Coturnix japonica: one gene and its partners. The protein of the gene in region 2 interacts with the protein of the main gene of each other region in a pairwise test. Links are inferred from orthologs where the notes say so. Each region holds a gene or a part of one and is shown on either strand. Other genes may lie near its edges.

Evidence for each region.
Region 1: the proteins of CDR2 (region 2) and HDAC4 interact in binary tests that used the Homo sapiens proteins (3 or more experiments, as listed by UniProt). The two-hybrid records come from large-scale screens. The link is inferred for Coturnix japonica from reciprocal best matches to the Homo sapiens genes CDR2 and HDAC4.
Region 3: the proteins of CDR2 (region 2) and CHIC2 interact in binary tests that used the Homo sapiens proteins (3 or more experiments, as listed by UniProt). The link is inferred for Coturnix japonica from reciprocal best matches to the Homo sapiens genes CDR2 and CHIC2.

The regions. Positions count from the first base shown.
Region 1 is NC_029522.1:2,887,091-2,891,510, reverse strand, and holds the start of HDAC4 (histone deacetylase 4), read right to left. Parts: upstream 2,882-4,420; 5' UTR 2,772-2,881; exon of another isoform or gene 2,764-2,771; intron 2,390-2,763; exon of another isoform or gene 2,296-2,389; intron 1-2,295. UniProt on the Homo sapiens protein: Responsible for the deacetylation of lysine residues on the N-terminal part of the core histones (H2A, H2B, H3 and H4).
Region 2 is NC_029529.1:8,362,915-8,367,029, forward strand, and holds the start of CDR2 (cerebellar degeneration-related protein 2), read right to left. Parts: upstream 2,910-4,115; 5' UTR 2,699-2,909; coding exon 2,620-2,698; intron 1-2,619.
Region 3 is NC_029519.1:59,090,806-59,094,450, reverse strand, and holds part of CHIC2 (cysteine-rich hydrophobic domain-containing protein 2), read right to left. Parts: intron 2,991-3,645; coding exon 2,936-2,990; intron 2,789-2,935; coding exon 2,633-2,788; intron 1-2,632.

The DNA of each region.
Region 1 (4,420 bases), on a different chromosome or scaffold from region 2:
TCCAGTGTGGCATGCCCAGCGTTCAGCCAAGCAAGAACACAAGCACCTCTCGTGTTGTCAGCCCTCAGTCCCTGAGGTCAGGCTGTGCAGCAGGTTCTAAAGGACATCCAGCATGCAAACTGCTTTCAGCATAAGTTACTTGGTAAGTGCATGGTGAGCTCTTAGCTGTTCTCAGCTCTGGAAACAGAAAGATGACCTGGAGTACCTGACTGTCATATACTACATAGGCAATGGAAACATTCTTCCTCAGCACTTTGTCTTATCTGGTTTGGGGTATGTTCATGCAATAGAAAGGCTGTAGCTGCCTCAGAACTGGAAACCCACAAATGATCAGAGGGAAAGCTTCAGCCATTGCACCAAGCTTCTGATCCCAGAGGCATCTTCCGATGGCTTTAAAGAAGTCTGCTTCAGGGAGCAGCAAGCCACTTCAAAGAGATTAGGAGGGCAACGTAATCTAAACCCACGGGCTCCTGCTCAACTTTACCTTTCATTTTCACTAAGCCCAGCTCCCTGCCCTTGCAGGTCACTGCATGGTTTAATGCTGCAGGCTGGAATCAGCTCCACCTCTCCAGGAACCCATAACCAAGCAGCTCCCTCTTTTTGCTTAATTCTTCCTTCCGTTTCATTCTTTTTTGCTTGTAAGCCAACATAAAGTGATAAATGAGACTCGCTCCCACCAACCACATCACATACTTGGGGCATGGAACCCACTGCCCCCCGACCCTGGCCATACAGCTCAGACCTGCCTACACATCACATAACCAAGGTTGGAAAAGACTCCCTGAGATATCCAGTCCAGCCATCCACCTGCCACCGATATTGCCTGCTAAACCACAGCTCTATGTAAGCAGAGACGGCAAAGAAAACCACAGTGCTGAATGGTTTTGCAGGTCACGGTGCTGCACGGACACACACATCTGAAGGGGCAGCTCCTGTGCAAAGGATGAAAGCTGCCACCCCGTCCTTCCAACCCATTCTGTACAAGCCATTCAAAACACATATCCGGCTGTTCTAAAGCATCCTTGTCACAAAACCAAACCCTGAAGCAAAAACCCAAAGAAATTCAAGAACGGGAAAGATGAATTTTAAAGACTTGAGATTATCAGAATCATTTTCCCCCCCTTCAGTTGAGCCAACCGAGAGCACAGCTTAACGTCAGCGACAACACCTGGCAGGTGCACGTGCCATTCAGAGCAGCAGACACATCCTGGAAAGCACGTTTCACTTGGTACAGAAAAACCTGCAGTGCTAAAAAACTTCCTCTTTCTAACTGGGTGGCATTTTACATCTCCAAATGGAACTGAGTGAGCACATCACCATGGTGACGGGAGGATTCGGCAATAACTTTGGTGCCTTGTAATTGCGGTATATTTGTATACAAGCAGCTGAGCTTTCTTAATTCAATGCCCTCTTAACTCTTTCTGAGAGGCTGAGGAGTGACAAAGGCAGCCTTTGGGCTGGGAACTCCACGCGGCAGCACTGGAAACATCAGAGCAGGCAGAACTCAATGCGGGAGGGGCTGGGGGGGGGGGGGGGAGGAAAAGGAGAAAAAAAGCAGCCTTGCCAAGAAGCAGATTATTATATAAACTTCAGAGCTCCTTAGAAACGTCGCTGTTATCAAAGCATAATTAACTTCAGGTAGCTTTTTGGCAGGGAACACGGCCCCAGCTGGAGGCAGCCCGTGACAGCAGCACATCGCGGCACCGTTAGCGAGCATGGAGCTGAGGACAAGCACAGGGCACCCATCCGACCCAGCACACACAAACCTTCCCCTTCGCTTCAAGGCAGCGTTTTAGGGGAGGCTGGGAGCAACGAGCCGAGTTGGTGCCAACGAGCAAGCGACAAAACCTTCCCGTATCATGCCCCAAAACAATTACGCAAGTGCTTTGAATCAAAGGCCGGTTCAGCTCCCAAATACAGCCCTACCATCATGGCAACTAAGCGCTCCGCAAACACATTCCCCTGCTCAGAGGCCACGCCGCTCGGAGATGATAGCGCCGAGCATCGCTCTGACAAATTCCTGCAGCAAAAGCCCGCAGCACCTCCCTTACGCAGAGCCACGCGCGTTGCAAGCCATCTTTTTTCCCCCTTTTTTTTGTGGTTTGTTTCAAGTTAAGACCCCAACATCGCAGCACAAACCTCATCCCTCGAGCTAAAACACAGCATTTTCGGGGACTTCCACCAAACCCGGGGGCGGTGGGACCGTGCGGGGCCGAGGAGGCGCCAGTCGGTCCCAGTCGGCCCCGCACGGCCCCACCGCCCCCGTCCCACGCCGCCCCCGTCCCCGCCGCTCACCGCTGCCCGCATCGCTCCGCGCCGAGCCCCGCGCGGCTCCGAGGCGGCGCCGCTGCTGCCGGGGGTGGGAGGAGCCACGCGCGGCCGCGAGTGGGCGTGGCCAACGCCGTAGCCCCGCCCCCTTTTGCCTCATTCACAAAAAAACGCCAGCGCCGCCGCCCGGCTGCGGGAGGAGGGGCGAGCGGAAGCCACGCCCCCACCGGGCTCCGCGTCCAATCGCGTCGCACAGCGGCTCAAATCCACCACGAGGGACAACGCGATTGGTGCGCGGAGCTGCCCGTCACCTCCCTCCTGCGGAACCCTCCGCACCGCGCGGCCGGAGCCCGGAGGAAAACAACCGCGCGCCCCGTCGAAGCCTTAGGGAACCACGGGGAGGGCCGGGCCGGGATTAAAAGCCGGCGGGCAGAATCTCGCCCAGCCCTTGTGCCCCGGGGCTACCCGGCCACGCGAGAGGCTCGGCGTACTGACCTGCTTACCGGTGGGAGGAGCGTGGAGCCGTGAGGCGAGAGCTCGGCGGCGGACACGGGCGGCGCGCGCGCCACCAACGGACTCAGCCCGTGACGGGATCCGCCATCTTGGAATTTTTAGATGGAGAGTCACGTGGTGCGACCATTTTTCCCACCGGCCAATCAGGAAGCGCGGGTTATTTATAGCCTCGGCTCCCTCTTTGCACTCCGCCTCATCCCGGCTGGGCGCGCGGCGGGGGAAGGGAACCAATCAGGCCCCGCCTCGGCTCTTAGCCCCGCCCACCCGCGGCCGTTGGGCGCCGTCCGTTGGGTTCCTCAGGAGTCCCGTCACACAGCGGAGCTGCTCTATCGCTGTGTGTTACCCCGGGCAGGTATTAATTACCCTGGGCTGCTATTAAATGTGGAGGTTGGTGGCCTTGCACGTAGCGCAGGGTTGGAGCTTCGTGATCCTTGAGCCCCCTTCCAAACCAACCATTCTACAATCTACAATCGTGATTCTTCTATGCTTGAGCCTACAGCCTATAGTGTGTGTCTAAGGATATACTGCCACTTCTGCATAAAGCTGAAGCCCTTTTTTGTCTCGTTTTTACCATCTACTGGCTTGTGGGCTTGTTTGTTTGTTGTTTTTTTGGTCAGTGAGGTTTTAGGTTTCCTCCTATGGTCGTTCTGCTATCTTTATTCTGGGCCGGTTTGTGTGCTCACGTGTATGTATGCCTGCATGTATAAATAAGCTGCTAAATTATTTTAAAGTGTCCAGAGACGTGTGGGGATAAGTGCTTTAGGTCTAGAGGTTCACAAGTGCAGACTGTGCAGCCAACAAGGCAATACTGATCTATGCCACAAGCTGCCCAGTGCATGGAATGAGCGGTGGCCATAGCAGGACCCATGTATGGACAGCTGGGTGGCTGCCTGCCCTCTCCTGAGGCTTCCTATTTCTTGGGCTGCTGCAAGGTGCTTTGCACACCAACATACTTACAGGCATTGCTTTGCTTAAGTGGTCCCTGAAGCAAATCAGTGCTCCCCATATGTGCCCTGGATGCTCTCCTGCAGCTCCAAGCTGGCTGGGTCTATCACCTCCAATGCCTTCTACATGGCTGAAGGTATTTTAGAAAGATGAAAGAAGAGAAAGAAAATTGCACCCTTCAAGTTGCCATGGAGTGTAAGTTTTATCTTCCAAATTTGATTGATGCGGTACTTGTGGCCGTGGGTGTGAATATGTGTGTGTCTATTAATATCCAGTCTAGGCTAACCTGTGCATAATGACAGAAAATTAAACCCTGCCATTGTTCCTATAAACTAGAATTCAGACGTGAGCAAGAAAAAACGTTCTTCCTATATGTGAAAGCTGACTGTATGTAGTATAGTCTGTTTTTACTGTAATTGCAGCTGAGAAGTTTACTTAAAAGCTATTTGAATTAAAGGAATTGGCAGAGCTAATTCATAAAGACTGAAATAAAATGCAATTACTGAGCTTCCCGCCCACCTCCACCTCGTCTCTATCTGAATTCCACTTGTTTGTCAAAAAGGGTCCATTTTTTGATGTCCTTAAGCAGGTAACATCCATCACGACGCTCCAGCTCGTTTCCGTACCCAGTCACAGCAATCTGGAGAAAGCAAAAGAGGAGCTCTCAGCTTTCCATCCTAATGCTGCCCCTTCC
Region 2 (4,115 bases):
ATTTCAGGCTCATAAACCTGGGAGACAGCAATTGTTTTATGTGCTCCAAAACACCATTTTAAGTGGAATTTGTTCGCAGGCACTTAATCTCTATTTCACTTCAATCACCTCCAGGGTACAGTGACTGTAGTTGTTTCATATTAAGAAATAAGTCATCTGAACACCCAGCTCCTTTCTGAAGGGAAGCAGCATGAGTATTGCTAGATGTTTCATATTATTATGTTTAAAGATGCATGCAATTTAAAAACTAACATAACGTGATGAAATCAATCCTGTGTTATTGCTAAAATAGTAACTACACTGTGCAGGTATTACATGTTCCAAATTCAACAGATTTCTAACGTTACTTTTCACCTCCTTCCCATTACCTGGGTCTGACCAGGTTTCTCCTGCATGCAGGCAGCCTTGTTAGTTCTCATATGGGTAGGGATAGCATCACTAATGGGAAAGAAGCAGAAGGAGGTTCAAGAAAAACCCAGATTCTCTTTAAGATGCCTGAAATGAATACATGAGACATACTGCATCACCCGCTGTTCTAGTTAGACAAGAAAACATTCTCAGTTTTCATGTGATTAAGATGCCCTTGTTTTAAGGTGTTTCTCATCTCCTTCCTGCCCTTCCCCAGTTCCCTTATCAGCTGGTTGCTGTAGCAGACAGAGGGCTGTTCCCAGACTGCTTTGTGCTAACCTTCACTTTGGCAGCATGTCTGAAGTGAGCACTTGGTCCAGATACATAAACCAAAGACTGAATTCAGACCAAACAGAAAAATGTTCCCATTCACTTGTCTGTGTAAGCTGTAGATGTCCTGCTCAGGACAAACAACAGCTGTGGTATCCATTACATGTACTTTAAGGTAGGAAACAACGGGCTGTAGCTGTCAGATGCTTTGAATAATGTTTCTGGAATTTATTTACAACAAATCACCCTGCATACAAGTTCTTGTTAGAGCTGGGAGCCGCGTGGCTCGCTGCTTTACACTTCGCAGTTTATCCTCACATAGCTTTTTTGTTGTAACACCCCTTGTTAAGAAACACAGCCTATTTCAGGGCTTTTTCTCAAACTGCTACCCCTAGAAAAGGAAAGAATTGAACCAATCTGACCTGTTCTGAAGTTAACAATTTATTGTGCACCCGTGTCTCTACATTGCAGATACCTACAGTCAAATGTAGAGTGCATTCTCCTGATACAGGAGAACACGTTTGTCTGAGAGTCACTCTGTGATACTAGAAGCACGCAGCACTTTTATGTGAACATCCTACAACAATTCTGCTTTTTTCCTGTTACCTGTTGGCAGCGTTTCTGTAGCTGAGCAAAAGACAGAACGTGGTACTAAACTCTTATTTTATGCTTTCATAGCCCATCTAACAAAGCAATTCAGATGATTTTTGTTCTAAAAGTAAGTCTATTCAGTAGTAGAATGCCTTTGTAGTACAGGATGTCTAAGTTGAAGTCTAACTGTAAAATTAAACTAAGTGGAAGTTTGTCCAGCTGCTGCCCTCCCTGAGCTCCTGGGCAGGCTGTGAAGGGCTGCAGGTTTGTGTTCAGTGATGTGTCCTCACAAACGCACTCCTTGATTTCTACACGTGCTCTGGTTGGTGGGTTGTGATAAGTTTCACTAGTGCCCAGCCTTGCTGCTCCATTTATGTGCACTTGTGTTGCTTGGTTTTAGAATGATGACTATTTTCCAGACTGTACAAGTCCACTATAGCAGGACGTTTCACAGATGTTCCCTTAAGGAACCTATCTGCATTTCAGCCTGCCCATCGGTTCACTTTCTCCTTTCCCTCTGGCAGGCTGTCAGTGCCTTCCACTTGGGCTCGTGAGAAGCTGATCCTTCGGAAGAGACGTTCCAGGTGCAGGGAGAGCAGTCAGCGACCCCTGGAGCGGAGCAGTGCCCAGCCCCGGCCGGGAACCAAGGGCGAGTATTCGCTCACGGTGGCAAAGAGCGAAGTTGAAGCAGCACGGCAGGAGAGCAGCACGGCTCCACCATGCACATCTTCTACCCCACAAATAACGACGCGGAAAAATACCAAACCCTGACTTCAGATTTTCAGCTCATCCCTTTGACAGCAAACAATGGCTTCAGCACCTCATTTCAATGGATCTCTTTATAACCTGTGGCCGCGGCAGCATCCCGCACACACACACACAGCACGCGGAGCAGCGCTGCCGCCTCGGGACGGTTCCCAGCGCTGCCCTGTGCCTCGTACGGCGGGTTCCGACTCAGCTCCCGCACGGAGCAGCCGCCCGTCCCGCCCGGTCCGAGCTCCGGAGCTCCCGGCTCGTTCTTTCCATCGCCGCGTCCGCCGATGTCTGTACCGCAGATCCATCGCCGTGTGCCCGCGGCTCAGCCGGTACCGTTTCTCCCTCCCGCGTGGTCCCGCCGCCCCATCCCGGCCGTGCTCCATCGGGCGCAGCCCCCGGAGCCGCCCCGCTGCCGGCAGGGCCGGGCACGGCAGCAGCCGCCCGTTCCGTCAGACAAAGCCGCACCGTGCCGGTACCGGCGGTCCCAGCTCCCGCCCCGTGCTCTCCCCGCCGCCGCCCCGCGCTCCTCCATCCGCCCCGTCCCCTCCGCCCGACCCCCCGCCCCGCCGTGCCGTGCCGTGCCGTGCCGCCCACCTTGCTGCAGGTCCTGCTGGTCGTACCACGGCTCATCCTCGCGGATCTCGAACTCCTCCACCAGGCTGTCGGCCAGCATCGCGCTCTCCCCTCTCGGTCCGGTGGCCGCGCTCACCTCGCGCCGGGCGGCGGCGGGGCCGGGCGAGCCGGCAGCTCGTCGCCTTACCAGCCGGCTCCGGGCATTGCCGAGCGGTTCCGGACTTTGCCGAACCTCTCCCCCTTCTGGTCGGGCCGCGCGGAGCCGCCGGCGACAACGTGGCACGGAGCGACCGCCCGCCCACCGCCGGGCCGCGATTCAAACACTACGCCCCGCCTCCTCTGCCGACAGCCAATGGGGAGCCGCCCGCAGGGCAGATCGAAAGGAGCGCCGGCCAACCAGGAGGCGAGTCCGTGGCGGGCGGCCAATGAGAGAGGAGGAGGGGTCGGTCCCGCCTGGCCGGCCCCGCCCCAGCGTCCCGCTGCGCGGCCTCCGGGCGGAGGAGGTCGGTGGTGCCCGCGGGAGGGGCGGCGGGAGCGGGGCCGGTGACGGGGCCGGGGCTGGCGGTGGTGTCGGTGCCGCGGGTTGTCTCGGTGCGGCTGAGGCGGCACGGGGCGCTGGGAGCGGGGCAGGGCGTGGCAGCTGCCCGGCCGTGCTGCTGCGTGTCCCCGCGGGGCGTCTCCTCACGCGGAGCCCCTCATCGCCTCGTGAGGCCCCTCAGCCCCTCAGCTGCTGCCGCTCCCTGTGAGGGCTCTGACAGGACGGCTCCGTCCCTTGGCTCCCTGTGCCGCTCTGTGCGCCCCGCAGTGCCGGGCAGCCCAACCTTCTCCTCCCGGCTCTCCCTGAGCGGTGCCGGTTCTTTGCTGTGCCCGGCGCTGCAGCAGGAGCAGCCGTTGCGCTGTGCCTCAGCCCGCAGCGCTTTGTGCTGTGCGGGGCGGCTCACGCGTGTTAATTGCTGTACAATTAAAGAGCACGTCTGTGGGGCAGGGAGGTGTGTGGGACCTCAGCTCCTCCAGGAGCCGGTTCATAAACGAGCCGTGCCAATAACGCAGGGAGCCGAGTCAGACCCTGCGCGCAGCTGTGAGTCATGGCGCTGGAGGCGCATTGTTCGGAGCCTTTTGTGAAACAAACGATACTTGGGAGTTTTCTGGAGCGACGGGAGCGATTTGTCTCTTATTCGTGCGTAGGAAGGAACTGAGTCAATACGGCTCGAGAATGTTAATGCCCAGCGTGTATCCGAGGGAGATGCCCGCGGTTCTGCACTGGAACCTGCCCAGGGTCGCAGCCCCGAGGTCTCACATACGTTCGGTGTATTTGTGAAGATGTGGATACACCTTCTAACAAGAACACGATGTTTTCAGTAGCGAATCACCCTTCACGTTTTCTTTATATCCCTCTTTTGAAGCATGAACGTTTCACGCGGCCATCGTTTCAATGCTGTTGTTCTTTGTAGGTTTCTCGGTTCAGTTTATGAAGCCGAACTCGTTGGGGAGGTGCAAAGTGTAATCACCTGGAAATG
Region 3 (3,645 bases), on a different chromosome or scaffold from region 2:
GAAATACATTAAAGTGATAAAACTAACAATCAGGCTTGCAAATGCCTATGATTTAAAAAATGCCTAGTTTGAAGGACTTGATTTAACAAGACAAATCCATAACTTAATTTTCACATAAATGCACAAAAATAAGCATATATGCTTGTTATATAAGCAACCATTCGAAGTGTGTAGCTTCAAAATATGTTACATTTGTGACTGCATTCACATATTAGAATTCAAAAAGTCATTGTGAGCAGCAAAGAAAAAAAAAACAAGAGAATTACTGTTTATTTATTATTATTCAAAACTCTGAAATTGCTGTTTTCATTTCAAGTCTTCCTCAGCCAGTTCCAGGATTAAGAGTTCAATTTGGGAAAGCACTCCTGTACTTGCTAGTTAATTAACTCTCCTCTATATTATAGTCATCAGCTCACCCGACTGAGTTCACAGGTCTTCACCTGATAGACAATAATCCTCTAAGCAGACATCTATATGTTGTGCTGCTGATACAGACAAATGATGTTGCCACAACATCTGACTTAAAGGATTTTTATTCCACAGCAATAATCAAACAGCCTGAACAAATGTATTCAGTGCTATCAAAAAGGCTATAGGCATAAATTCTAGTGCCACTACACCACTCACAGTGGCACAACACAATGTTCAGGCAGCTGAGTCCTACCTTTAATTTCACTGGGGTTTAAGCTTGTAAATCCAGCATGAATCACTCATCTTCAGTGCAGGAAAAAGTATGGAATTCCTTAAGTAATTTCTTCTGAACAGGGCATCCATACATTGTTTCCAGATTTATCCTTCAGGAAGAGAGCTTGCCATAACTCCCATCCCAAGCTAACTTCAACTGAAGCACTCCTCTGTTGCTTCACTAGGTTCATACACAGAACCTCTTTCCTCAGACTGAAACTCTGTTTCCTGGCTCCAGATACTATGAGCCCTTACCTTTTCTCTGACTATTAAACAATGAATTAAGAAGTTGATTACTAGTAGTGACTTTCAGTGCTGGATTAAGGGGCATCAGCCTCGTCCTCCCAAAAGCAGCTTTACTTTTATGACCATGTTACATTCTGCTACAACAGCTCATTACTTGAGAAGAGGGACAAAACTTAAGAACATCAGAAGCTTTCGGCTTTGAAGTTACACAGGGACAGTAGAGATGTGAGTTTCCCTTGTGTTTTTAACAAACAGAGCTAGACTGGAACAGAAAATAGTTATCTCTGCAAGCTGGTTAGGGCACCAATTTATCTGTTGAATGAATCAGCTGATTTCCTGCAGTAGACTTTCAGGATATGGATATACAGTCATCCTACAGGAAACTCACTAGTTCGTAACAGCTTAAAGGTACAAAACCAAGGGCTTGAAATAATTCAAACTGACAACTGTATCTTTCCAAGGACTCCAATATTACCAGCAGGTTAATCTACATACATTTAAAACTAATTTAAAGTAATCCCTTCAAGAGAGTATTTGTTAAGATTTACACAAAAAATTGGACAAAAGAAATCTGCTCTATTCTTTTCTGTTTGTTTGCTTTCAGTACATGGGAGTTTCAGGAGTTCAGACATAGCTTTTATAACATATAATGGTAATACCAATACTAAAACTACAAAAGGAGCTTGCACAACTTCTGGTTTTAGCAACACCACTTGCTCAAGCAGGTGTGCATTTGTGCAGAAGCCTTCATCTGCAAATGCTTGATCAGTATTGAAAAGATGAGCAAATAAAATTATAAGCTCACATTGCAGAAGCATACAATCACTGTCAATTTTAGAGCATTGATTTACTGACTGTGTAAAATGAGGTCCTCAGTAAAGAAAAGCACGATAGCGCTCAGTGTACAGTACAATGATTTGCAGCATTAACGGGTATTACACAAGATGGATTACACACAAGCATCACCGTGAACTGGAAAGATTTACAGTGCCAATACAAGAAGAGGATGGCAATGCACAGAGACTTCTTGCAAATAAGTGAAATGGGATTAGCCAAAATTTTTACACATGTGAGAACAGAAGAGATGGGGAGGGTTGCAAAATTACTTGCAATGGGATTAGGGAGGTAAAAAATTAGGCACATGCAAAAAGCTTTTGTTATGAACAACACACCAAGTGTTGCAGACTCAGACAAAACACTAATTTCTAGCTGTCAGTGCAAGAAAAAAATACCTTACTCATCTCCAGCTTGGAAGAAAGGTAAAACAATCTTTAAAAAATTCATTTGTAAATGCAAGCATATGGCTACTTAGGTCACAGTATAACTAGAAACTACTCATAAATACCTTTCACAACAGTCAATGCCCAATTCTGATGATTCCTAACAGAATCACAGAGAAGCTATTAAAAATGCACAGTTATTACTTTAACAGTAAGTGCTGTACAGCACATGGCTCTAGCAGAGACACTGTGCTAAACTACGAGTCACAGAGTTGTAAGCTCAGCATTCTGACTGGTGCCTATTTTAAGTGGTATGACAGACAAGAGAGATCAAAACATATGAAATCAAACTCATCTACGTAAGCAGTAGTATATTTTATTAAAGCTGCCAAGAAAAAAGAGGATATGAGAAAAAAGAGGAAAAATAAAGGAGCAAAGCCAATACAATTCTGACTTACAAAAATAAGAATAGTTCAACTTACTCTTTTACTGAGGCAGATAACTGGCCACATACTACAACCTAAAGTGCAGCAGCAGCAAAGGCATCCACAAAGTAGCCATCGTACATTAACTGGAAGGTTCTTCTTAAGACAACTGTTAACTCTACTGATGCTGGCTTTAAATTCCTCAGGAGCAACCTACAAGAAAAAACAAACTACCTATTACCACAACAGTGTGATTTATTACTCTGTGAATGGACCATGACTTAAGCTTTTGCTTTTTTAATAGCAAAAGTCTTAAATCAAATTCTATTTTTTTGTTGTTGATGCTGTTCAGATACTCACCTTTCCAGTTAAAGATGAAGGAAATTCTGCTTCAAATTTGTTGCTTAGTCCAAACCTGAAAAAACAAAATGATATTCATACCAGAATCAGAAAGCTATGAATACCTGATATGAACCCTAAGAACAGCATCAATTTAAGAAAAAAAAAAAAAAAAAAAAAAAAAAAAAAAAAGTATTTCCTAAAGGTAATTACCATCCTACCAGACAGAAATATGCAATTATAAACAGTCTGGAATTCATCTTGCCTCCAGTCTCTTTTAAAGTTCCCTTGACATTTGCAGACTCTTCCTTAAACTCAGCAAAATCTTTATAAGCAACTGTATCAAATATGAAAAAGGAGAAGAATTTAAAGGAGGAAAGGTAACAAGACAGTACAAATCCTCCCACTCCACCCAGTACATACGCATCTTGAAGAGAAGCTCATTTAGCAGGATCTAAGCAGAGTAACACCAAATTGGTCTAAGCATAGAAATGGGTTCAGTAACACCTTGCTTATTCAGAAATAATAACAATAACTAGTTAGATTGTATTTTGTGTTCTGAAACTTACTAAATGTGGTTTAAGTGCTAACTTGAAACAAACAAACATCCATATCAATTGAGAATTGAAAGCTATGAAAAAGTCTTAGATGAACTAGGATTACTGGCTGTTCTAGGTCATGGAAGTAATGAGTGTCACCTTGTCTTCAAAAAAACAAGAAGACTGAAAATC